Rattus norvegicus: one gene and its partners. The protein of the gene in region 1 interacts with the protein of each later gene in a biochemical or structural test. Links are inferred from orthologs where the notes say so. Each region holds a gene or a part of one and is shown in the gene's direction. Other genes may lie near its edges. The genes, in order: Rps6kb1, Mapt, Rptor, Mtor, Pdk1 and Rps6.

Region 1 (3,500 bases):
GCAAACCAGGCTGGCCTGGCGTTCACTGTGTAGCTTATGCTGCCTTTGAGTTCCTGGCAGTCCTGCTCCTGCTCCAGCCGCCTGTATGTTGGGGTTACTACAAGTCTGAACTACTACATGTGGTTCCTGAATCATATCTACAGCACAGATGTGCACACACACTTGGTATTTTCTGTTTTTTTTTTTTTTTTTCTTTTTCTGTTTTGAGACAAGATCTCTATACAGTTCTAGCTGTCCTGGAACTCAACTATGTAGGCAAGGCTAGTTTCGAACTGAGAGATTGCCTGTGCTAACATTAAAGGCTTGTGCCACCAGGCCTGGAATGCCCATGGGTCTGAGAGCTTCACAGTTTCACTCCTTTTGTTAATGCTGCTTATCTTGTGACTTATTATGAGTAGTACAGGGTTCCTCACCCAGATCCTCCAGACAGTGCGGAATTCCTACCCCTCACCTAGATCCTCTACACTCCATCATCTCACTGTATTTGCTTATCTTCCTTCATGCATATGCGTGTGTGTACATACATATGCACACATACACAGTCAACATTTTTTGTACTATTCAAAGATTTATATAAATAAAACTCTAGCATTTACTTTCTAAGTTCAAGGACATTTTTTATGTAACTAGTTATTACAATAATAACTTAGTTTTCTTTAATATTGAACAGTTCCTTAGTCTGTCTTTGTCACATTGACATTTTTTAAAATGTGTATAGCCCAGTTTCTGTAGGATGCCATCAATTTGAGTTTGTCTGATGTTTCTTTAGGAATAGATCCAGGTTATGCGTTTTGACAGAACTGTCCAAGTGACACCGTGTTCCTTCTCAGCGTTCAGAACAGGGGTGCATGGTGTTTAGATCTTTTTGTCCCACTGCCGTTAATGTTCATTGTGGTCACATGATGTCTGCAGGTGTCTCCGGAGGAGACATTTTGGGATTACCTCAGAGTCTCCTCTCATCAGGCTTCCCGGTCCAGTGTTGGTGTTCCTAACTGTAACAGCTAACGTGTTTGCCAAGCAGTTTCTTCCTCCAGTCTGCCACCTTCCTTTATCACTGTGCCTGGTGCTCTCCTGCAGTGCAGAGTTCTGTTTGCCATTGAAAGCCATATCTATTCATCTATTTACATCATCATGGGAGTCTCAATGTTACAGTATAACCCTTTATACTATCTGATACTCAAATTATGTCGATGTTAAGTTCATTTTGTTTATGTAAGGGTTCTGAAAAAAAGGAACATCATATTCAGTAAAATTTAGGTGACTTAATTGTGTACTAACTTTTTTACATATGGAAAAAGTACTAAAGAGGCTTTAATAAAGACTTTTTCAGCTTCAGGCTAGAAATCTATATATTTTGAAGTTTGCAGGTGCAAAAGTTGTAATTTCAAGCCAGTTTTAGTTCCTAAACTTAGATGTTTTATAGAATAACAATGCTGCTAAAAATTGCTTCCTGGAGACTTGAAACCTCAGTTTTTAGCAGTTTTTTGTTTTTGTTTTTGTTTTTTTTTTTTTTTTTTTTGGTTCTTTTTTTTTTTTTTTTTTTTCGGAGCTGGGGACCGAACCCAGGGCCTTGTGCTTCCTAGGTAAGCGCTCTACCACTGAGCTAAATCCCCAGCCCCTGTTTTTTAGTTTTTAAGGAGTCAGTCTTATAAATAGAAGAAAGTAAAAATTTATTAGAAAAGGTCTGGAAGTAAAGATATTTATTCCTAATACCTTTCCTTTCTTTATAGGAGGAGAACTATTTATGCAGTTAGAAAGAGAGGGGATATTCATGGAAGATACAGCTTGGTAAGTAGAGTTTTGTGGTTGTATGGACTCAGGTAATAACTCATGTAATTAAAGCAAACCTACCTTCCCGTTGTGGGCAGCCACACGGTTCAGTAAGTTGATCTGGAGGCAGTCAGTCACTCAGAACATCAAGGGGGACCTTTGGGACTGGGCAGCTGTTGGAGGTCACGTGATTCCTTTGCCCCCAGGCCTTGGGTGGACCGCTCTTCACTGCAGAATTTCCTTGAATTGGTAAGCTGCCTGCCTTGGTTGTGGGTGAGTGTGGTTTTCCAGTGAAATTTTGTATGTGGAGCAATGGAAAGTATCAGAAATCATCTCCTCTTTTTTTTAGACTTTCCAGTTCCCCAGGTGCAGTCTTAGGGAGGTGGTAACCCTGAGCATACATCTGTGGATTGATTTTATAGCCAGGATGGGATCTGCCCTCCTATTCGTAAGATGGCATCTGCTTCAAATTAAAAATATACACATCCTTTTGTGAAGTGACTGTATTGGGTAACAGTAAAACAGTTTGACCTACACATTAATTGACTAGAAAACACTTAAATGTTTTTTCTATCTTAATTACCGAACTGCATTCCATTGTTTAATTTCAGGCCTTTTCTAACACAGAAGCTGCATTTAAGAAAGAGCCTTAGGGATGAAGTGCCCCTTTTTGGAGGAGGCTCTCTGAGCCCTGTGGAGGCTGTGGTCCTGCTAGCTGTGAAACTGCCTCAGCCCTCTAGGACACACCCTCTCCATCCTGGAGTACTCTGCAGGATTGCAGCCTTGTTACACAGCCAGTATTGCAGTGCTTTGTGCTTTTCGAATCCACACAGGGTTGACTCAGCCCTTTGTTCTTTTGAGGTAGATAAATTTGAGTGTCACACAGTTTATAGTTGTGGGCTGGCTGGCAAGAGGGTGGGTAGATACTGTGGGCATTGCTGTCTTTAATACACGGCCGTGTTATGTAAGGGATGAGTGGGCTTCTACAGGTCAGGCCATAAGGACCAAGACTTGATCTCTTAGAATAATAAAGTCCCTATTTCCTATGGAATCTTAAATATGGGGGAGGGTGGGAGGAATTTGTTTGATTGAATGACTGTTGGCCTAATTCCTACATAGAGAGATTAGAACCTAATCAATAATAGACTAGACTGGACATCTTTGCACTTTTAGCACTATGTTCTAATGGAAAAATTAAAACATGGTATAGCTTGACTAAAATGAGTGACAAATGTCTCCCTCATTGTGGCATCATCCTGTGCCATCTCTTTTCCCAGTACATTCTTTTGCCCCTGCTAATTTGGTCTTTGGTGCATGTCTGTTTCTTTCAAGGAATTTTGTTCCATACATAAACTGCTTTGGATAGATTACTTTTTAAATTTTTATTAAATCACTTCTGTTTCCAGCTTTTACTTGGCTGAAATCTCCATGGCTTTGGGGCATTTACATCAAAAAGGGATCATCTACAGAGACCTGAAGCCGGAGAACATCATGCTTAATCACCAAGGTGGAGATTTACAATTCTGTAGTAAATAGTCAGCGTACAGTCCTTCCACACAGATGATGGCCATTTTCAAGGCTCCCACGTTTATCTCTGTCTTGTTAAATATATTTCCCCTTAGAATATATAGCATCACAGTACTTTCTCCAGTACTTTAAGTATTTAGTGTTTCATGATTGAGCTTAATAGTTAAACACATTAGCCATTCTTTACAACTTAAAAAAAAGAA
Region 2 (3,500 bases), about 18 Mb from region 1:
ATTGTTCCCCACCTATGTTCTGTGTGTGTGTGTGTGTGTGTGTGTGTGTGTGTGTGTGCGCGCGCGCATGTGTGTGCGTGTGTGTGTGTGCACATGTGTGTGTTACATGCACATGAGCATACAGGTGAGCACAGCCATGCACGATGTGCAGAGTCCAGAGCAGAACATCAGGTGTCTCCCCTTTCACTCTTGAGACAGGGTCTCTCACTGAACCGGAAGCTTGCTGGTTCACTGAGCTTGCTAGGCTGGCTCGGTGAACTCCTGGGATATATCTGGTTGCACCCCTCAATGTGGGGGTTACAGGCTAGCATGCACACCATGCTCTGCTTTTTTAACTTAGGCGCCAAGGAACTCAGGCCTTGGTGCTGGCAGAGCAAACTTTTGCAAGCACTCCTACCCACCGAGCCATCTCCCCAGCCCCGGCTTGTTTTTTTTGAAGCAAGATATTACTATTAATCCCAGGCTGGCCAGGAACCAGCTGTCCCTCAGTCTCTCAATTGCTGGGATGACAGGTGTGTGCCAGCCATAATATTTTGCTATTCCAGAGTGCTTCTACATGCCAGTGGCTGTACCTTTGCAGCGCCCACCTCAGGATCTACCTACTCCCTGTTGATGCCTGTGGAGGCTCTTCCATTTTTCTCAAGTTACAAATAATGCTGAGTATGAATAACCTTGAGTGACCTCACACATTTTACATGTTGTGTTTAAGTGTATCCTACAAATGTAATGTCTGTCTGTCTGTCTGTCTATTTGTCTGTCTATCTATCTGTGCTGGGGATAGAACCCATAGCCTCAAGCATGCTAAGCACATGCTCTACTGTAAATGTACTTTTCATTGGCTTGATGTAATTGTTATCTTGGAGGCTTATTGTGTCAGTCTGCTAAACTAAGCCTAGTCCCAGACGCTTCCAGTCTCTGTACAATGTAATCTAGGCCTAGAGTGTTTTCAGCCTCTGAGACTTACTGCTGCATAGGCTCACCCTTTCTTGTTCTTTCTGAACTCTGGTTGGCTGGCTCAAACCTACTCTCCTAGCTGACTGATTCAAACTGACGTCTTTCTGCTTCTCACTGAATTGCTTTGCCTGGCCTCTAACTCTGGCAGTCTATTTTAATCTTCTGGCTCCTTTTTTTCTCTGGCTTGTTTTGCCTTCACCTGTGTCTAGTTGGTTCTCTCTTCAACCTGTCTCTATAAAACTCTCCTGGTAAAATTGCCTCCTCCCTCTCTCTTCCCCTGCTCTCACAAGTTGCCTCTCTTTCCTCTCTGTTCTTGTGAGAGTTAGGCATATCCTATCTCTGACTCATTCTGTCAAATCTTCCTCTGCTTCGTCACTTTGTCTGTCCCTCAATTGGACATCACTTTCAAACATGTCTGCTTCCTTCTACAAACTAACTTTACCTTCATTGTTTGGGATTAGAGGTGTGTACTAAGGGTATGTGTGTATTCCATCTAGATCACACAGAACCTAGAAGGTCTTTGGATATGATCAGAGCAGCCACATTGCTGGATTAAAATTCCTTTATGTTCAGGAAGCAGATCTCCTGGAGTTGAAAGCCAGACTGGTCTACATAGTAATTTCCAAGCAGACCAGAGCTACATACTGATATCCTTCCTCACTGTAGATAAATAGGTATATTAACAAAAATTAATGGACAATAATGAAGCAAGTATCCAGTGTGAAAATCAAAATGCAAAGCCCTATGGATATTGTCCCATATGGGTTAAATATATGTGTTGCCGGGATTTGAACTCAGGACCTCTGGAGGAGCAGTCGGTGCTCTTAACCACTGAGCCAGATCTCCAGCCCTCATATCAGTTTCTATAGGTGTGGAATATTTAAAGAACACAGAAGCAATGGTGACAGTCATTGGGCAGCCAGGTGTGGGATGGACCACGCACAACTATTGCTAATTGGGAAACAAAAACAAGTAGGTGGTGGCTCCTGAGGATGCAACTTAGTTGGTAGAGTGATTTTCTAGCAGGCAGGAAACCCTGGGCTGGACAATACCATTACATACACTAGGTGTGGTGGCACACGCCTGTGACTTCAGCCTTGGGGACAAAGAGGCTGGAAGATCCAAAGTTCGAGGTAATCCTCAGCTGGATAGGGAATTCCAGGCCAGCCTGGGCTATATGAGAGCCTCTTATAAGAATAAGTAAATACAGGGCGTGGTGGTACAGCACTTGGGAGGCAGAGGCAGCCCTGAGTTCAAGGTCAGCCTGGTCTATAAAACAAGTTACAGGGCTGGAGAGATGGCTCAGCGGTTAAGAGCACCTGACTGCTCTTCCAGAGGTCCTGAGTTCAATTCCCAGCAACCACATGGTGGCTCACAACCATCTGTAAAGAGATCCGATGCCCTCTTCTGGTGTATCTGAAGACAGCTACAGTGTACTTATATATAATAAATGAATAAATAAATCTTTAAAAAAAAAAAAAAAACAAGTTACAGGACATCCAGAGCTACACAGAGAAACCCTGTCTTTTTTTCTTTTTTAAGATTTACTTTATTGGGGTTGGGGATTTAGCTCAGTGGTAGAGCGCTTGCCTAGGAAGCGCAAGGCCCTGGGTTCGGTCCCCAGCTCCGAAAAAAAGAACCAAAAAAAAAAAAAAAAAGATTTACTTTATTAATTTTATGTACACCATTGCTGTCTTCAGACACACCAGAAGGGGACCTCGGATCCCATTACAGATTGTGATCCTGAGCCACCATGTGGTTCCTGGGAATTGAACTCAGGACCTTGGCAGGAGTCCTGAGCCATCCATCTCTCCAGCACGAGTAACCCCGTTTTAAAAACAAAAACAAAATGAATGAATGAATGAATGATTTCCTACCCCCACAATCGAATTTCCCCCGGCCTTCTCATTAATCTCACCCTCTACTTCTTGCAGATTGAAACCCACAAGCTGACCTTCAGGGAGAATGCCAAAGCCAAGACAGACCATGGAGCAGAAATCGTGTACAAGTCACCTGTGGTGTCTGGGGACACATCTCCACGGCACCTCAGCAACGTCTCCTCCACGGGCAGCATCGACATGGTGGACTCTCCACAGCTTGCCACGTTAGCCGATGAAGTGTCCGCCTCTTTGGCCAAGCAGGGTTTGTGATCAGGCCCCTGGGGCCGTCACTGATCATGGAGAGAAGAGAGAGTGAGAGTGTGGAAAAAAAAAAAAAAAAAAGAATGACCTGGCCCCTCACCCTCTGCCCTCCCCGCTGCTCCTCATAGACAGGCTGACCAGCTTGTCACCTAACCTGCTTTTGTGGCTCGGGTTTGGCTCGGGACTTCAAAATCAGTGATGGGAAAAAGTAAATTTCATCTTTCCAAATTGATTTGTGGGCTAGTAATAAAATATTTTTAAGGAAGGAAAAAAAAAAAAACACGTAAAACCATGGCCAAACAAAACCCAACATTTCCTTGGCAATTGTTATTGACCCCGCCCCCCCCCTCTGAGTTTTAGAGGGTGAAGGAGGCTTTGGATGGAGGCTGCTTCTGGGGATTGGCT
Region 3 (3,500 bases), about 34 Mb from region 1:
AGACCAGGGGCTGCTGGGAGTACCATGGAGGACTAACGGTCCTGCTGGGAGTGTGCAGGTTTAGAGCTCAGCCATGTAGAGCACAGACTGCCCTCCCAGGACCACTGGGTATGTGAGGCCAGTCCCAGTGTGCACACCCTGGCACCACTGCTGAGCACTGAGTGAAGGCACTGCCCATGCTGTAACTGAGTCCCTTGGGCAGACCACTATGTTCTGGATAAAACAGAGGATATTCAATACATGCCTTCTGACATCAAAGGGTTGCTCTGTGCAGATGCAGAGTCTCTATCCTTCCTGGGCATAGTCAGGACACTCCAGTGTGAGTTCCACCTTTTCTGTAAGTTACAAGCTCACCCCTGATGGCCTTTTGTGAACCAAAGTGCTGGTGTTAGAGTAACCGTCAATGGCAACACCAGTTTCTTCCACTGTATGTGGGAGTGAATGGAGAACGTGAGGTTTCTGAAGACAGATGAAGACTTCTTCCCCAGACGGGCCCAGTGGGTACCAGCTTGTGGGCTCAGAAACTTTATCCCTGGCACAAATAAGGAGGATCAGCTCCATGGTGATGGGTCAGGCAGCTTCAGGGGGCCACCAGCCTCAGGTTGACAGTGTCTGTGAAGACTCAGTGGGCTCTCACCTTTGGTCTAGTCTACCTCAGCATCTGAGGACGTTGGAGGGGAAGTAGAGACCAGTGCAAACCTGTGGCCTGAGCAGCATGAGCTATGGGTCCCTGGGCGTAATTGGGAAGTTATAGTGGGTCTGAGTGCAAAAGCAGTTGGGGCACAAACAAAGCTATTAGAAAATCAGCCTGGAGCTCAGAGAGATAGGAGAAGCAAAAAAGTGTGTGCAGTTGAGGTGAGAGAACATCAGCCCACAGACCTGGCTGCAGCACCTCAGCAGCCTCAGGGCGTGGGTGTGTGGAGCACACGAGGGCCTCTCCAGCAGACCTTAGTTTTCTGCAGACATCTTTCTCTTTACCGAGAGCTTCTTTTTGCCTTTCTGTCTATAAACATTTAAGTTGAGATGCTAAGCTATCATAAACTACATGTAAATCCTGTCTCCTCAGACTCCGGGGCTTAGGTCTAGTCACATTTTAATTCAAGGACTTTTCTCATTCGTTGTGACTAGAACCCACTACAGCTAAGTTAGCTTATTGCTCACTTCAAAAATGCTTCACCTTCATAGATTCCTATGCCCTGCATTTCTAGCTTATCCTAGAGATATGGCACTGCCACCTCCACCACCACTGCGTTACCATCTCCTGACTGTAGTCATGTCTCCCAGTAGTCTCTTCCTGTGTCCTACCCTCATCTGGTTTAACCAGGAAGGCTGCATGGGACTGACCCGGGCCCTCCACACATATGTTAGTTTTTTTGGTTGGTGTTCACGTGAGACTCCTGATAGCAGGAGCAGGCGCTACCTCTGCCTCTGTTGCCTGCTTTGGGGACCCGTTCCTCCTACTGGGCTGCTTGGTCCAGCCTCAGTAGGAAAGGATGGGCCTAGTCTTGCTGCAGCTTAATATGCCAGGGCTGGTTGGTATCCATGGGAGGCCTCCCCTTTTCTGAAGAAAAGTGAATGGATGAGGGGAGATGAGGTAAGGACTGGGAGGAGAAGAGGGAGGGAAAGGTGTGGTCAGGATGTATAATCAATTTTAATTAACTAATTAACTGATTAATTAATTAAAAAGAATGCTTCAGCTTATCAATTCTATCCACCAGTCCATTGGGTGGGATCAAAAGAGGCAGTTTCAGACTCAGCAGGGTCAGAGGCCTAATCTTAACTATTCCAGGTTATGGAATTCACATCAGAAAGCCTTGGACTAGTAGTGATTGGTGCCCAGCAGTGAGCAAGCAGACTAAGGCAGGTGCCTGGCTTTGGGGACACCCCTCATCAGCCTGCTGCCTCCACACTCCCCCCCTCCTCTGCACCTGTGCTGCCAGGTGTGCAGCCCTGTTCTAACCAGCTGTTTCCTGGAGTCGCCTTAGGCGTTAGTGTGCGGATCTGCTGCCCAGTCAGTTTCCTGCCTCTGGAGACATAATTGTCACTTCTCCCTCTCTACAGGAGCTGGTGGTGGCTCTGAGTCACCTTGTAGTCCAATATGAGAGCAATTTCTGCACTGTGGCCCTGCAGTTCATGGAAGAGGAAAAGAACTACCCCTTGCCTTCTCCAGCAGCCACAGGTACTGCAGCTTCTGGGAGCCTGGGCCCCCTTCCCAGCCTTCACCAGAATGATTAGTGGCCTGAGTTCAGCCAGGTCTGAGCATGGCCTTCTGATGCAGTGTGGGTGGCCCCTGGCTCTTGTTGTCTCACACCTTTAGAAGGGAAAGGGCCGTGCTGACCCTCTTACTCCTTCCCTTCCTTCTTACCCTTCTTGGAATTCAAATTTGGGGACATCTTGAAAGACGGCAAACTTGTAGTGGGGCGTACTGAAACGAACATTAGCTGTCTTCCTGCGATGAGTAAGTGAATCACATGGCTGTCGGCCTTGTGTTTCCATGAGTCAGGGTAGGAAGCGTTGCTTCTCACATTTGTCCTTTTCGCTGGAGAGTACAGTCATCTGTGTTCCTAATTCCTCACCCCTCCCTCCAGACCACAGAGACAGCCGTAAGGCGGAGGTGCGGCTGCCCAAAGGCTGGGGCCAGCCTGCCAGGCCCAGGGTGCTGAGCACCACTCTGTCTCTGGCCGAGTCCCCTAACACCAGAACAGCCTCAGAGCTACTCTTGCCTTCCGGGCCATGCTCTCCTGGGATTTAGTACTCACATGTCTACAACTGAGGCCTGCACTCACACAGGTGAAGGACAGGGAGGCCCTTCTACATTCATTCTTGTTTCAGTAATACCAACTGTCCCTGTTCCCATGTCTGCAGACTCCAGGCATTCACCCTGCTCCTATCCTGACAGCCATTGCTAACTCTTTCCTCTCCCCTTCTTTCCTAGAGGGAGGGAGCTTGACTCCAGTTCGAGACAGCCCGTGCACCCCCAGACTCCGGTCAGTGAGCTCCTATGGGAACATCCGAGCCGTCACCACAGCTAGGAACCTGAACAAATCTTTGCAGAACCTGAGCTTGACGGAAGAATGTAAGACTCCAGAAACCAGAATTGGGATGGGAAGGGTCAGTGTGCTCTTCACAAGACATTTATCAAAAATGCTACTGTGCCCCTTGACCCTGCCCTCCAGAATATGGGCCCTGATGTCTTATGTGTCAGAGTGACAAGTGGCCAACTGTCTTGAGTCAGAATCTTCCTTTCAGACATGGGCTTAGCAAAGACCTGGTTTAACACCCGATCAGTCAGGCCAGGGTGTGACTTTTGAGGATCTCAGTTCCAAGGAGAGGGTCCACCAGTTTATGCATACGCATGTCTATTAATGTGCTTACGTGTGTGTAAATGTGCCCACTATGAAGAAAGCTCACATCTCAGACAGACCCTGACCTCCTTCCTGTCATATTCTGGCCAGCGGGCAGCTCAGTGGCCTTCTCTCCCGGGAACCTCAGTACAAGTA
Region 4 (3,500 bases), on another chromosome or scaffold:
TGAGCCCGAAGGGAACCAACAAAGCTGCCTTTGAGAGGGGAGGGCCCATGACTTTTGCATTGTGTGCTGAGGGCAGAGACAGGTGCACAGGACTGTTAGCACTTAAGGTAAGTTTCATAAGAGCGGGGCAGCCTTGGACATACTGTTCTGCTCTTGTGTCTTTCAGTTGGAGATGGTTTGGTGAAACCAGAAGCCTTAAACAAGAAAGCTATTCAGATTATTAACAGGGTTCGAGATAAGCTCACTGGTGAGTGTTTGGTGGTTAAAGGGACATGAAGCCTGATGAGGAGAGTGTTCTCTCCGCGGATGGCCAGCCCGCTGTCCTGGGATTTATTTCTACATGGGTCACGAGTAGCTTTAAGGCAACAGTGGAGCTCCCCTCTGGCTCCTGTTGCTAAAGACCCTTAATATCACTTGACATCCTTTAACCTCATTAGCTCTGGGGATAAGGGGGCTCTGGTGGAATCTGGATGGATTCCAGAACCAGGCCTTGTTACTGGCCTCGTGGTGAGATACTGGAGAATGCCTGACCAGTTGGGTTGACTATGGCTACTAGCATGCTGTGGAAGGACGGAAGGGGAGCCCTGTCTGACTTTAGAAAGAAGCAACCAATCCAACTGATTGTCTTTCTCCTGTGAAGTGGGTCAGTTCATGGAGAGTGGGAGCCAAGTAGCCAGAGACCCCATTCCACATTCACTTCCTACGTAACCTCTGAACTCCTCCATTTGAATGATAATAAGAACATAACAGAGGAGATGAACGTCACAGAAAACATGGGATTGCAGGCACTGGGCATCAGCCAGTTCTGTAGTCAGGGTGCTTTATCAAGTCAGTCAATAAAGGACCACACAAGAAGACAGCCAGCTTCCCTGGCTTTTCAGGACTCAGAATCTATGGGAAAACATTATCACTACGTGGAGAACAGGCTGTGATACCTTGTGATGGCAGGGTTTGATTTAATGTGGAAGTCCCAGGAAAGTCTCCCTAAGGAAGCTACAGCTCAAGCTTATGTGCAGGAGTCTATCAGTTACATCTCTCCTGCTGCTGCTGAGACGCTGTGAGGGAGCGTCTGTTAGGCTGACAGCTTTCATGGTTAGTAACCATAAGCATCATGGCCATAAGCTGTCAGCAAGCGGCACGCTTGGTGTCTGAGCAGTAGCTGAGAGCTTACATCTTGATCTACAACTCTGAGGCAGAGAAAACTAGCTGGAAATGACATGGGCTTTTGAAACCTCAAAGCCCACCTCCAGCTACACAAGTCTTCCAGTAACACTACACCTTATAATCCTTCCCAAATAGTTTCATCAACTAGGACCAAGTATTCAGATGTATACGGGGACCATTCTCACTCAGACTTCCACAAGGAATTAACTAGAGGACACTAACATTATGTCAGGCAGAGGGACAAAGGGTGTATCTAGAACCCTTTGATGAGAGTGATGGTAAAAGGAAGGTCCCAGGCTGCCATTCAACCCAGGGAAAACACCAAGGCAGGTAGGTGCAATGGGAAGGGAACCAGGCCTGTTTTTTTTGTGTGTGTGTCGTGACACCACCTGCACTGGCTGAGTGGCCTTGCATCAGAAGGAGGGCATGTAAATGCTCTAATATGCACATAAGACAATGCAAGAGATCTTGAGGAAGGCAGGTCAAAGGCTGGGTTAGGGCTGTGGCTCAGTGGTAAAGTTACTGCCTGCCACTCACAGAACCTAGGTAAGAGCCCCAGTACAACGTAAAAAATAAAACCCACAAAGATGGCTGTTGATACATGAGAAATGAGAAGGTCAAAGATGACATCGGTGGTGACCATCTGAGAGCTGAGAGACCCGATAACCAGACTGAAGTTGTTGAAGAGAAGGGGATGGAGACAGAGACGGCTGAGATGTAGCAGAGCTCTTGAGCAGCTTCTGCAGGGAGGAGAGGACTAAGTGAGCAAACTAGAGGTCGTGGTGGGCAAGTCCTGGGGCTGTAACCATGGTACAAAAGGACCCTTCATCGAACCACACTCTGTGTCTCTAAGAAAGAGTGTGTTCACAAAACTGAAAAACCATGACGTAGCATAGCTTTAATGTCAGTGTTCAGAAGAGAGAGGCAAGCTCCACCTAGGGCTATGGGGACAGAGGAAGAGAGAGACCCTGTCTCAAATACACACAAACCAACAAACAAACACCTATAGGAAGGATGTCCTCACCCAACATAGCCCCAGGGCCTAGAACTGAACAGTGACAAGTGGAGAAACCCTATTTATGGAGATCTGGAAGACTTAAACAGTGCTCGTGGTACTAGAAAGGTGCTTTGCCAGATAGCTGTGGTGGCTCACGCCTGCAATCCCTGTAGAACAAGGCAGGAGAATCGCAGCTGGCTGAGTCCTAACCGTCAGTTCTAGGACTACTCAAATAAATAAAAATGTTACCGAGGGCTCTAATCGCCTGTCATCAGATCAGGCAGGTACAGCTACAAACTTCAGGCCAGCTGACACTACATGAAATCTCTCGCAAAACACTTCCCCATCTCAAAGAAAAGCTAAAGAGGCAGGATGGGCCTGGGGAGGTGGCTCTGTGGTGAAAAGCAGGTGTTTTCCTTGTGGGCCAGGTTTGATTCCCGCATCCATGTAGTGGTTCCTGACCATCAGTTACTCCAATTCTAGGACATCTGACTCCAGGTTCTGACCTCCCAGGGCACATGCATGGAGCACATACAGACATACGGGCAACACGGAGGCACATAAAGTTTAATCTCTAAAACAAAAACAGCCATGCTTGCTTCGGCAGCACGTAGACTAAAAGTGGGATGATACAGAGAGGATTAGCATGGCCCTGAGCAAGGAGGACACACAACGAACTCTGGGGGTGGGGGTGGGGGACCAAATAAATAAAATAATTAAAAGAATAAATAGAAATTTGTAGTCATGCTTGTGCATTATCTCTAGTAGACGTTTAGATATTTAGGAGTCTAGGCTATCGGTTACCATAGCAAAATGAATTTGGCTTAAAACAGAAGCACACATATTATCAAAGAAGCCCTACTAGCTGGTTAGGCTGCTGACTCTGTGTGAGGGCAAGATCTTAACTCCAGTGGAAACACTGATGAACGTGTGCAGTTCAAGCTAAATGCCCTTGGCCACTTCTCAAGTCTGGTTTTGGAGCAGCCCCATTAGCCACATCTTTGAACTGGGTCTATATTAAGGGACCAGTGTGCCTGCAGAGGACACGGAGGTGAATTTCTCAGTGCAGATGTGGTCTATCCTTCCTGCTCTAGTGATTCTGGCTACATAGACAGCTGAGCCAAGCCAAGCCAAACAAGAACATGGGCTGTGTTGTTGCCAAATGCAGATGACAGTATTTCTACTTTCTAGGTCGGGATTTCTCTCATGATGACACTTTGGATGTTCCAACCCAAGTGGAACTGCTTATCAAGCAAGCGACATCTCATGAGAACCTCTGCCAGTGCTACATTGGCTGGTGAGTGAGCCTTGCAAAGAAGCCTCATTGGCCAAGTGTGGT
Region 5 (3,500 bases), on another chromosome or scaffold:
TCAGAAGCTCTGGGGTTGCTGGCAGTACTACTCTACACTTAGATTTATTTCACGTGTGCTCGTATGTCCACGTACTGTGTGCATGCCTGGTGCCCATGGATATAAGAACCTCTTCAGATCCTCTGAAATTTGAGTATGAATGGTTCTGAGCCACCACGTGTGGGTGCTGGGAACTGAACCTGGGTCCTCAGCAACAAGTGTGCTTAACCTCTGAGCCATCTCTCTAGCACCCCTCCCTTCTTTATCCTAATGTCTGTTGTGACATACCACTCACTTAAGGTTTCCAGTGCACCCTCACTTCTTACCGGGGAAGTGTAGCCAAACATTGAACTGATCATCCCAGAGGGTTTTAATTCATTGTACTAAAATACATAATTCCACAGGCCTTTGAATTCACAGCCAAGAGCAGTTTAAAGCATAATTCTAAACACAGGTTCTTTAGAAAGTCCTTCCATGCTTCGATACTGTAGTTTCTTAGTTCTAGCTGTTTGTGAGGCAGAGCTTCACATGATATATCTCACAGCAAATTTTTCAACTTTGAAAATCAAAATAGGGGCTGGGGAGATGGCTCAGCAGTTAAGAGCACTGGCTGCTCTTCTAAAGGTTCTGAGTTCAAATCCCAGCAACCACGTGGTGGCTCACAACCATCAGTAATGGGGTCTGATGCCCTCTTCTGGTGTGTCTGAAGAAAGCTACTTACATACATAAAGTAAATAAATCTTTAAAAAAAAAAAGAGAAAGAAAAAGAAAATCACAATAGGGCTCTGAGTGTAGCTTCTAGTATGTGGGAGGTGCTTGGTCCAGTGCCTTACACCCTTAGAAAATGAAAACAGCTATATAATTCTTAGTATGTTTCTAGTATATATACATTATCATCTTAAACAATATATGAAATCTCAACTATAAGCCATTTACGGTATAACTTTTTTGTATCTGTTATTTACACTTATTATGTTTATGCTAAGAGCATATTAATAACATCAACTTAGGTCTATGACAGAAGGGGTATCTATAGTAAATTAGGATATAGGCTAGGAAGGTAGACTATACTAACTATATAGGAAAACAATAAAAATAATGGGTAAGTTAATTACTAATTCAATCTACCATGTGGTTACTTGGTTTGAAAAATGACAGAATAGGAAAGATGTGCTTCCTTTAACTCACCAGAAGGTTGTCTGGGATCCTGTGTTGCAAAGTTGCATTTATTTGTTGTGTCTCCGTGTGTTGCACAGGTGTGGAGGTCAGAGGTGGCACAGGGTGATGCTCATTCCCTTATGTGCACTCCCGGGATTGATGTGCACTTCTGGGACTGATGTGCACTTCCAGGATTGATCAGGTCCTTGGCTCAGTGCTTTTACCATTGGGTCATCTCGTGGCCCTTAGTTTTGTTTCACTGAGACAGAATGCACAAGCTAGTCTTTAATTATGGCAATCCTCCTGCCTCGGCCTCCTGTATGCTGAGATTGCAGATGTGTAGCACCACCTGCAGTTTAAAGAAAGAGACTCAATTAGTTTATCTGTACGTGCCTGTGGGTTACGTTTATACGGTGCCCGTGGAGGCCAGAAGAAGGTGTCAGATCCCCTGGAACTAGAGTTGTTTATGGTTTTGAGCCACCATGTAGGAGCCAGGAACAAAACCCAGGCCTTTGCAAGAACAGTCAGCACTCGTCACTGCAGAGCCATCTCTCCAGCCCATTTCCCACTTCTGTTTGATAATATATCTTCAGAGTTAGAATCGTGAGTGTTTCTGACTTGTTTTTTGTTGGCTATTTTTTGTACACCTCTCTCTTGCTAATACATAAGAGTGTTGTACAGAACATTTAAATGACTACGTGGCATTCTGCTTTAGAATGCACTTTCTGTAGCCCCTGTGTGGGTTACTCTCTGCTTTTTCTTAAATCCATGGTGGGCATTCTCATGCGTACTTCACCTACATTAGTTTTTTTTTTTAGGATAAACTTAAGATGTGGCACTGATGTGTCTAGTATCTTTGCTCTTTTTAAATTTTATTCCGGTTATCATATTACTGCTAACCAAGAAGGGTTAACCTTGTGTTAGCTACACCGTTGAGGGCAGTGTTCACATTTGCAGCCTGGATTTCCAAAAGCAGCGTTCTCCCCACAGTCGTCTTTAAATCACGATACCGTACCGTGTGGGACCCGGTCACAATTTGATCCTTTCTCCTCTTAGATGAGTGACCGGGGAGGTGGTGTTCCGCTGAGGAAGATCGACAGACTCTTCAACTACATGTACTCAACTGCACCCCGGCCTCGTGTTGAGACGTCCCGTGCGGTGCCCCTGGTATGTGACACAGAAAGACTGTGGTGACCGTCAGCCACCATCAGAATGTGGCTTCCCCAAAGACACTTAAGTCAATTTCACAGGAGCTCACAAGGAAGGAAAATGTTTCAAAACTTTAGGGGCAAATACTTCTATCTGAATTTAAAGAGCCCTGGGATTAATTTTTAATTGAAACAGGCACAAGACAGATGATAGTTTGAGGTTTTTCTGGTACTCTTGGTCGTGACATCACAGCAGCCTCTTCTGTGGCAAACCATATGTACCTGTCTATTTCAGTATGAAGACTCCCTGTGGATTGTACCAGTCATGTTTTCCTTCAAGTACTTATATCTAGAAAGACCTCATTGGCAGATAGAACTGAAGGTCTCCTCTCTCTCTTTATTTGTGTTCTTCAGTTCACCCAAGGTTGCCTCCAATGCCCTGGTATTAAAGGCATATGCCACAGTGCCCAGTTTGTTTACATTTTTATTATTATTTTTGTTTGTAAGTGTATGAGTGTTTTGGTTGCAGCTCAGCCCTAGGACAGGAGAAAGCTGGAAATTGGGTCGTTGACTTGGAAGGCCACCTAGAAACGGTGGACTATAAAATAATTAGTACTAGCATGATGGTTCCATGAGAAGAATGCCGCCTTCTAACACAGACGGCATCATTTGATCCCCACATCCCAGGGTGGCAGAAGAGAGCCAACTCCTGGAAGAGGTCCTCACTTCCACACACAGAGCGCTATGCACACATACCTGCACTCATAAACACACCAATAATAGTAATATAAAAAATAATCAGTGGGAGAAAAGGCCAGAGCAGTGTTAGTGACTCTTCGGTTTGCATAAACGTGCTGTGAGGAGTACCACCCAAAGCATGGCTCGGGGATGGGAGCCATTTTTACCTCTTCCCAAGTGTCTGTAGAATTTCCTAGGTAAAGAAGGACCAGATACTGGAAACAGGTTGAACAAAGACCCAGTCCTGGGTTTAAGGAAGTCGGTGAAGGAGATCGGCTCCACTAGACAGGAGAGCAGGCAGAGACCTGATCTTGTCTTGGACGTTTTTAGAAGCTTGGCTCTTTCTCTCTGGGGTGGGGAAGTCCTGGTATGCTTTGAAGATTTTGGAGCAGGGAAGTGATCTGTCAGTGATAATAAGAAAGCGACTATTACAGATTATTTCCAGGTTCAGAACAAAGGCTGGGCATCCATAGTGTG
Region 6 (4,279 bases), on another chromosome or scaffold:
CAGCCTGGGCTGCAGAGTGAAAGCCTGCCTCTAGAATATACAATATCTCATGCAAGCTTCTCCAAGCCCAATCTCATTTGTTTGCTTGTTTGCTTCAGACTGTATGTATTTCTGCCTACCCTGGAATTTACTATATAGACCTAACTGCCAAGAACTTGTAGCAAATTGTCTTTCTGTTTCCATAGCGCAGGGGTTAGAGGCAGTCACTAATGGCAGGTCTAACAATCCAAAATTTAAAAATAATAGGTAACAGGGTCTAGAGAGACATCTCAGTGGTTAAGACTAGTAGCCACTCTAACGGAGGACCAGTATTCAATTCCCAGAACCTTCATGGCAGCTGACAACCATTTGTAACTCCAGTTCAAAGGGATCAGACACCTTCTAATGTCTAAAGGGCTTGAGGCATTCATACTCAAGGATGTTGTGTACGCAACTTGAATGTTCATCAAAAGAATCAGTACACAAAAATGTGAACACACACACACACACACACACACACTGCCTTTAAAAGAAAATTCCATCATACAATAAAATATAAACCTTAAAGACTACATTTAATGAAACCAGCCAGTTATAAAAAGGCAACTCCCATTTGATTCCATCGCATGATGGGCTTAATCAATATTTCATTGTCAGAAATGGGTGACAGTAGTAAGCAGACCAGTATGGTGTGCATAGGGAATTTCAGAACAGCCAGAGTTATACAAAGACACTTAGTCTCAAAAATTGAGTTCGGACAGAACAGCATGTAACTGCAGTAAACAAGAGAAGCACAGAAATGGTGTTGTTTTGAAAAAGAGCTGAAGATGACAGTGACACTCGGGAGACTAGGTTCAATCTCCGATCTGAGTTGTCACCCTCACCCCACCTACAAAGCAGAAAGTTTTGGCAGAAGAAAACAGAAAGCCGAAAGGCTCAAGACTGAGGCATCTGATAGTTGTCTGTGCCAGGTAGACGTGATGGATCGGCTGGACTGCTTGTCTTCTGCGGTCCGGCGACTATAGGAGTCACTCTGATCGATGCAGAACAAAGCCTGGCTTTCAAGATTTCTCCCGTCAACCGCTGGGACCAGGACAAGATCCTGAACTGGAAATCTTCCGCAGAGATGAGGGACAGGCCAGCCCGGGCGACAATTCTGATCGAGCTTTTCCATTTAGGTACTACTAAAAACCATGGTCGGAAACGGGGATTCGGCTCCTCAGTGGACCAGTCTGGTCGGAAACGGGAAAAATTAGCTAAGAAGCGGCTAACATTCGTGATAAACAAGTTGCCCTGTCACCGGGAACATCCAGAATACCAACCAACACCTCACTACAAACCAGCCTCACATTATTCCGGCTAGTACCGCCCCCGGAAGTACCACCCACCTCAACTCACTTCCGCCGGCTCCAGCTCGGGCTATTCTCGCGAGAACTTAGAGTGCTATGTGACCTGGGCTAAGCGGAAGTCGGGCCTCTTTTTCGTGACGCCTCCTAGGCGGTCGGCTGTGTCAAGATGAAGGTAGGCGTCCCTGACTGGGACTGAGTGAAGCAGTTCGAGTCCCAGAACGCGGGACTGCCTCAGCCCCAGGCTTTCACAAAACCCGGACTAAGCGGGGAAGGGTCTGAGGCAGGAGGAAGCTTGCTTTTAGGGCCTTGGGACCCTTTGGGAGAGCGGATGGCGGGCGATTGCAACGCCGCGACAGCGGACGTAGAGCAATGGCGGCGCCCGGTACCCGACCGGGCACATGCGGGCCTGAAGCCCCACTTGCAGCGGGTGTCCCGCGGCATTTGACCCCTCCTGGACACTCTGCTATCCGAGATCGCGAGGGTGAATGCTCTGACGTCCTCATAGCATTCTACAGAGCTTTGGCAAAATGTTCCATTGACGTGTGGCACTTTGCAGGGCCTGCGAGTCCGAGTCGTGGGTTTTCTGCTGTGTGTGGGAGCTGCTCAAAACGTTCTGCGCACGTGAATTGTTGAAGTTGTGTAGGTGCCTAAAGTCGTCTTCTTTTGCCCCCTTTAAAATCCTAGCTGAATATCTCCTTCCCTGCCACTGGCTGTCAGAAACTCATAGAAGTGGATGACGAACGCAAGCTTCGTACGTTCTATGAGAAGCGCATGGCCACAGAAGTAGCTGCTGATGCTCTTGGTGAAGAGTGGAAGGTAAAGTTTTTGGCATCATTACCCCAACTCGTCACAGCAAGTGCTGTTGGGTTTGGTTAAGTTTCATTGCTAGAATCAAATTTGGGGAAACGTGCCAAGAGGAGTCTCTCTTGCTTGTTATAATTCAAGGCCTTAAGTCTTGCGTGTTGTAGTAAGACCTGGGTAGTTAGGAGTAGAAGTTGAAATGGAGAGATTGCTTGTTGACCTTAGTTGGAAACGGAGACAAAAAAGTGAGTGGCTGAAGTTGAACTCAGTTGTTCTTCCTAATGGGGTTGCACACAAGAAGTTAAGAACCACACTTTGGAACAGAACTGGTAAATGTACCGTTTTATGTTCGATGCAGGGTTATGTGGTCCGGATCAGCGGTGGGAATGACAAACAAGGTTTTCCCATGAAGCAAGGCGTTTTGACCCATGGCAGAGTGCGCCTGCTTTTGAGTAAGGGGCATTCTTGTTATAGACCTAGGAGAACTGGAGAGAGGAAGCGCAAGTCTGTCCGAGGATGCATTGTGGATGCCAACCTGAGTGTTCTCAACTTGGTTATTGTAAAAAAAGGTAAGGCTTTTGTTGGAGTTTATTAGTTGAAATTGGTTGTCCTGGACACAAGGTTCTGCCTCCTAGGTAGTGGGGCATTGACCAAAGTGGGACAGATTTGATGTCTTAATTCCGATTGTTTCTTCAAGGAGAGAAGGATATTCCAGGACTGACAGATACCACTGTGCCTCGTCGGTTGGGACCTAAAAGAGCTAGTAGAATCCGAAAGCTTTTTAATCTCTCCAAAGAAGATGATGTCCGCCAGTATGTTGTCAGAAAGCCCTTAAACAAAGAAGGTAACAGGGATTTGGGCCTTTGTGCTATTGCTGCAGCTGTGCTTGCCACACAGCTAAATTCATGGCTTCGGCATTAGGAGCGACAAGGATTTTTTACAAAAGTATTCTCATTTTAACATGAAAAACTTTTAAAGCACTTTGTGTGTATGTTGGGGGGGTTAAAGGACAACTTGCAGGAGACAACATTTTGGAGGGACCAGGCTCTAAGTTGGTGCTTTGGATTACAGAAGAACCACTTTAATTTACTAATGAATGGCTCCACATATTTTTCATCTCTGGGACATAGATTGTGAAAATCAGGAGAAACACCCATTTTAAAGGGAAATGTATGAACAAATACATACTTTTTAAAGCTTTTATGTATATGAGTACACTGTTGCGCCTTCTAACACCAGAAAAGGGCATTGGATTCCATTATAGATGGTTGTGATCCACCATGTAGTTGCTAGGAATTGAACTGTGGTCCTCTGGAAGAGCAGGAAGAACAGTCTGCTCTTAACCGCTGAGCCACCTCTCCAGCCCTCATAATGTTAATGCTTCAGTAGGAAGCATAGCATGTATATTAATACAAATAACTCAGGACTGTTGACTTGTATTAAGAGTGTGCTATTAGAGAGAATGTGTAACTTAGTTGACAAAAGGTTTAAAAATGGTCCATCATCCCCTCATGAGCAGTTCAGAGTGGCTGAACTGTAGCAGAACTTGGCTATCCAGCTTATTTTACAAGGGTCTGAGCTGAGATGATAGCAGGGTTCTGTTTCTAGAGAGGCCTGTAATGTGGGGTAAGGAGTGTAAATCCAAAAGGCTAAAATGAATAATTTATAACATACCGTTAATTTCTAATAGTAGGCACGGACTGAAAATAGGATTAAAACATAAATGAGAAGTTGAAAATACGGTGGGGTTATAACAATGCAGACCATGGGGCCAGAGTAATACTTATGTTTGGGGGACAGCACTGGCCTTGGGTAGATGGTGGGGACTGAGTTGGGCTTGGGTGTGCTAGGCGTGTGTTATACACTGGGCATCGCCATCCAGCATGGTGGATGTTAAGTGATTACTCATCTGGATTTTTAGGTAAGAAGCCCAGGACCAAAGCGCCCAAGATTCAGCGTCTTGTTACTCCCCGTGTCCTGCAACACAAACGCCGACGTATTGCTCTGAAGAAGCAACGCACTAAGAAAAACAAGGAGGAGGCTGCAGAATATGCTAAACTTTTGGCCAAGAGAATGAAGGAAGCCAAAGAGAAGCGCCAGGAACAGATTGCCAAGAGACGTAGGCTGTCTTCGCTGAGAGCTTCTACTTC

What was found.
Region 2: of the proteins of Rps6kb1 (region 1) and Mapt, one has a biochemical effect on the other in vitro, tested with the Homo sapiens proteins (2 studies listed by BioGRID and IntAct). The link is inferred for Rattus norvegicus from reciprocal best matches to the Homo sapiens genes RPS6KB1 and MAPT.
Region 3: of the proteins of Rps6kb1 (region 1) and Rptor, one has a biochemical effect on the other in vitro, tested with the Homo sapiens proteins (6 studies listed by BioGRID and IntAct, with this or other methods). The link is inferred for Rattus norvegicus from reciprocal best matches to the Homo sapiens genes RPS6KB1 and RPTOR.
Region 4: of the proteins of Rps6kb1 (region 1) and Mtor, one has a biochemical effect on the other in vitro, tested with the Homo sapiens proteins (18 studies listed by BioGRID and IntAct, with this or other methods). The link is inferred for Rattus norvegicus from reciprocal best matches to the Homo sapiens genes RPS6KB1 and MTOR.
Region 5: the proteins of Rps6kb1 (region 1) and Pdk1 form a complex in vitro, tested with the Homo sapiens proteins (2 studies listed by BioGRID and IntAct, with this or other methods). The link is inferred for Rattus norvegicus from reciprocal best matches to the Homo sapiens genes RPS6KB1 and PDK1.
Region 6: of the proteins of Rps6kb1 (region 1) and Rps6, one has a biochemical effect on the other in vitro, tested with the Homo sapiens proteins (4 studies listed by BioGRID). The link is inferred for Rattus norvegicus from reciprocal best matches to the Homo sapiens genes RPS6KB1 and RPS6.

The regions. Positions count from the first base shown.
Region 1 is NC_086028.1:71,837,691-71,841,190, reverse strand, and holds part of Rps6kb1 (ribosomal protein S6 kinase beta-1), read left to right. Parts: intron 1-1,730; coding exon 1,731-1,788; intron 1,789-1,976; coding exon of another isoform or gene 1,977-2,019; intron 2,020-2,381; coding exon of another isoform or gene 2,382-2,423; exon of another isoform or gene 2,424-2,631; intron 2,632-3,176; coding exon 3,177-3,277; exon of another isoform or gene 3,278-3,500. UniProt on the Homo sapiens protein: Serine/threonine-protein kinase that acts downstream of mTOR signaling in response to growth factors and nutrients to promote cell proliferation, cell growth and cell cycle progression.
Region 2 is NC_086028.1:89,729,125-89,732,624, forward strand, and holds part of Mapt (microtubule-associated protein tau), read left to right. Parts: intron 1-2,888; coding exon 2,889-3,104; 3' UTR 3,105-3,500. UniProt on the Homo sapiens protein: Promotes microtubule assembly and stability, and might be involved in the establishment and maintenance of neuronal polarity.
Region 3 is NC_086028.1:105,631,943-105,635,442, forward strand, and holds part of Rptor (regulatory-associated protein of mTOR), read left to right. Parts: intron 1-2,061; coding exon 2,062-2,179; intron 2,180-2,935; coding exon 2,936-3,076; intron 3,077-3,455; coding exon 3,456-3,500. UniProt on the Homo sapiens protein: Component of the mechanistic target of rapamycin complex 1 (mTORC1), an evolutionarily conserved central nutrient sensor that stimulates anabolic reactions and macromolecule biosynthesis to promote cellular biomass generation and growth.
Region 4 is NC_086023.1:164,272,485-164,275,984, forward strand, and holds part of Mtor (serine/threonine-protein kinase mTOR), read left to right. Parts: intron 1-166; coding exon 167-247; intron 248-2,752; exon of another isoform or gene 2,753-2,834; intron 2,835-3,352; coding exon 3,353-3,458; intron 3,459-3,500. UniProt on the Homo sapiens protein: Serine/threonine protein kinase which is a central regulator of cellular metabolism, growth and survival in response to hormones, growth factors, nutrients, energy and stress signals.
Region 5 is NC_086021.1:77,134,014-77,137,513, forward strand, and holds part of Pdk1 (pyruvate dehydrogenase kinase, isozyme 1 precursor), read left to right. Parts: intron 1-2,193; coding exon 2,194-2,304; intron 2,305-3,500. UniProt on the Homo sapiens protein: Kinase that plays a key role in regulation of glucose and fatty acid metabolism and homeostasis via phosphorylation of the pyruvate dehydrogenase subunits PDHA1 and PDHA2.
Region 6 is NC_086023.1:106,417,741-106,422,019, reverse strand, and holds the start of Rps6 (small ribosomal subunit protein eS6), read left to right. Parts: upstream 1-1,479; 5' UTR 1,480-1,494; coding exon 1,495-1,500; exon of another isoform or gene 1,501-2,012; coding exon 2,013-2,144; exon of another isoform or gene 2,145-2,487; coding exon 2,488-2,698; exon of another isoform or gene 2,699-2,826; coding exon 2,827-2,973; exon of another isoform or gene 2,974-4,050; coding exon 4,051-4,279. UniProt on the Homo sapiens protein: Component of the 40S small ribosomal subunit. Plays an important role in controlling cell growth and proliferation through the selective translation of particular classes of mRNA.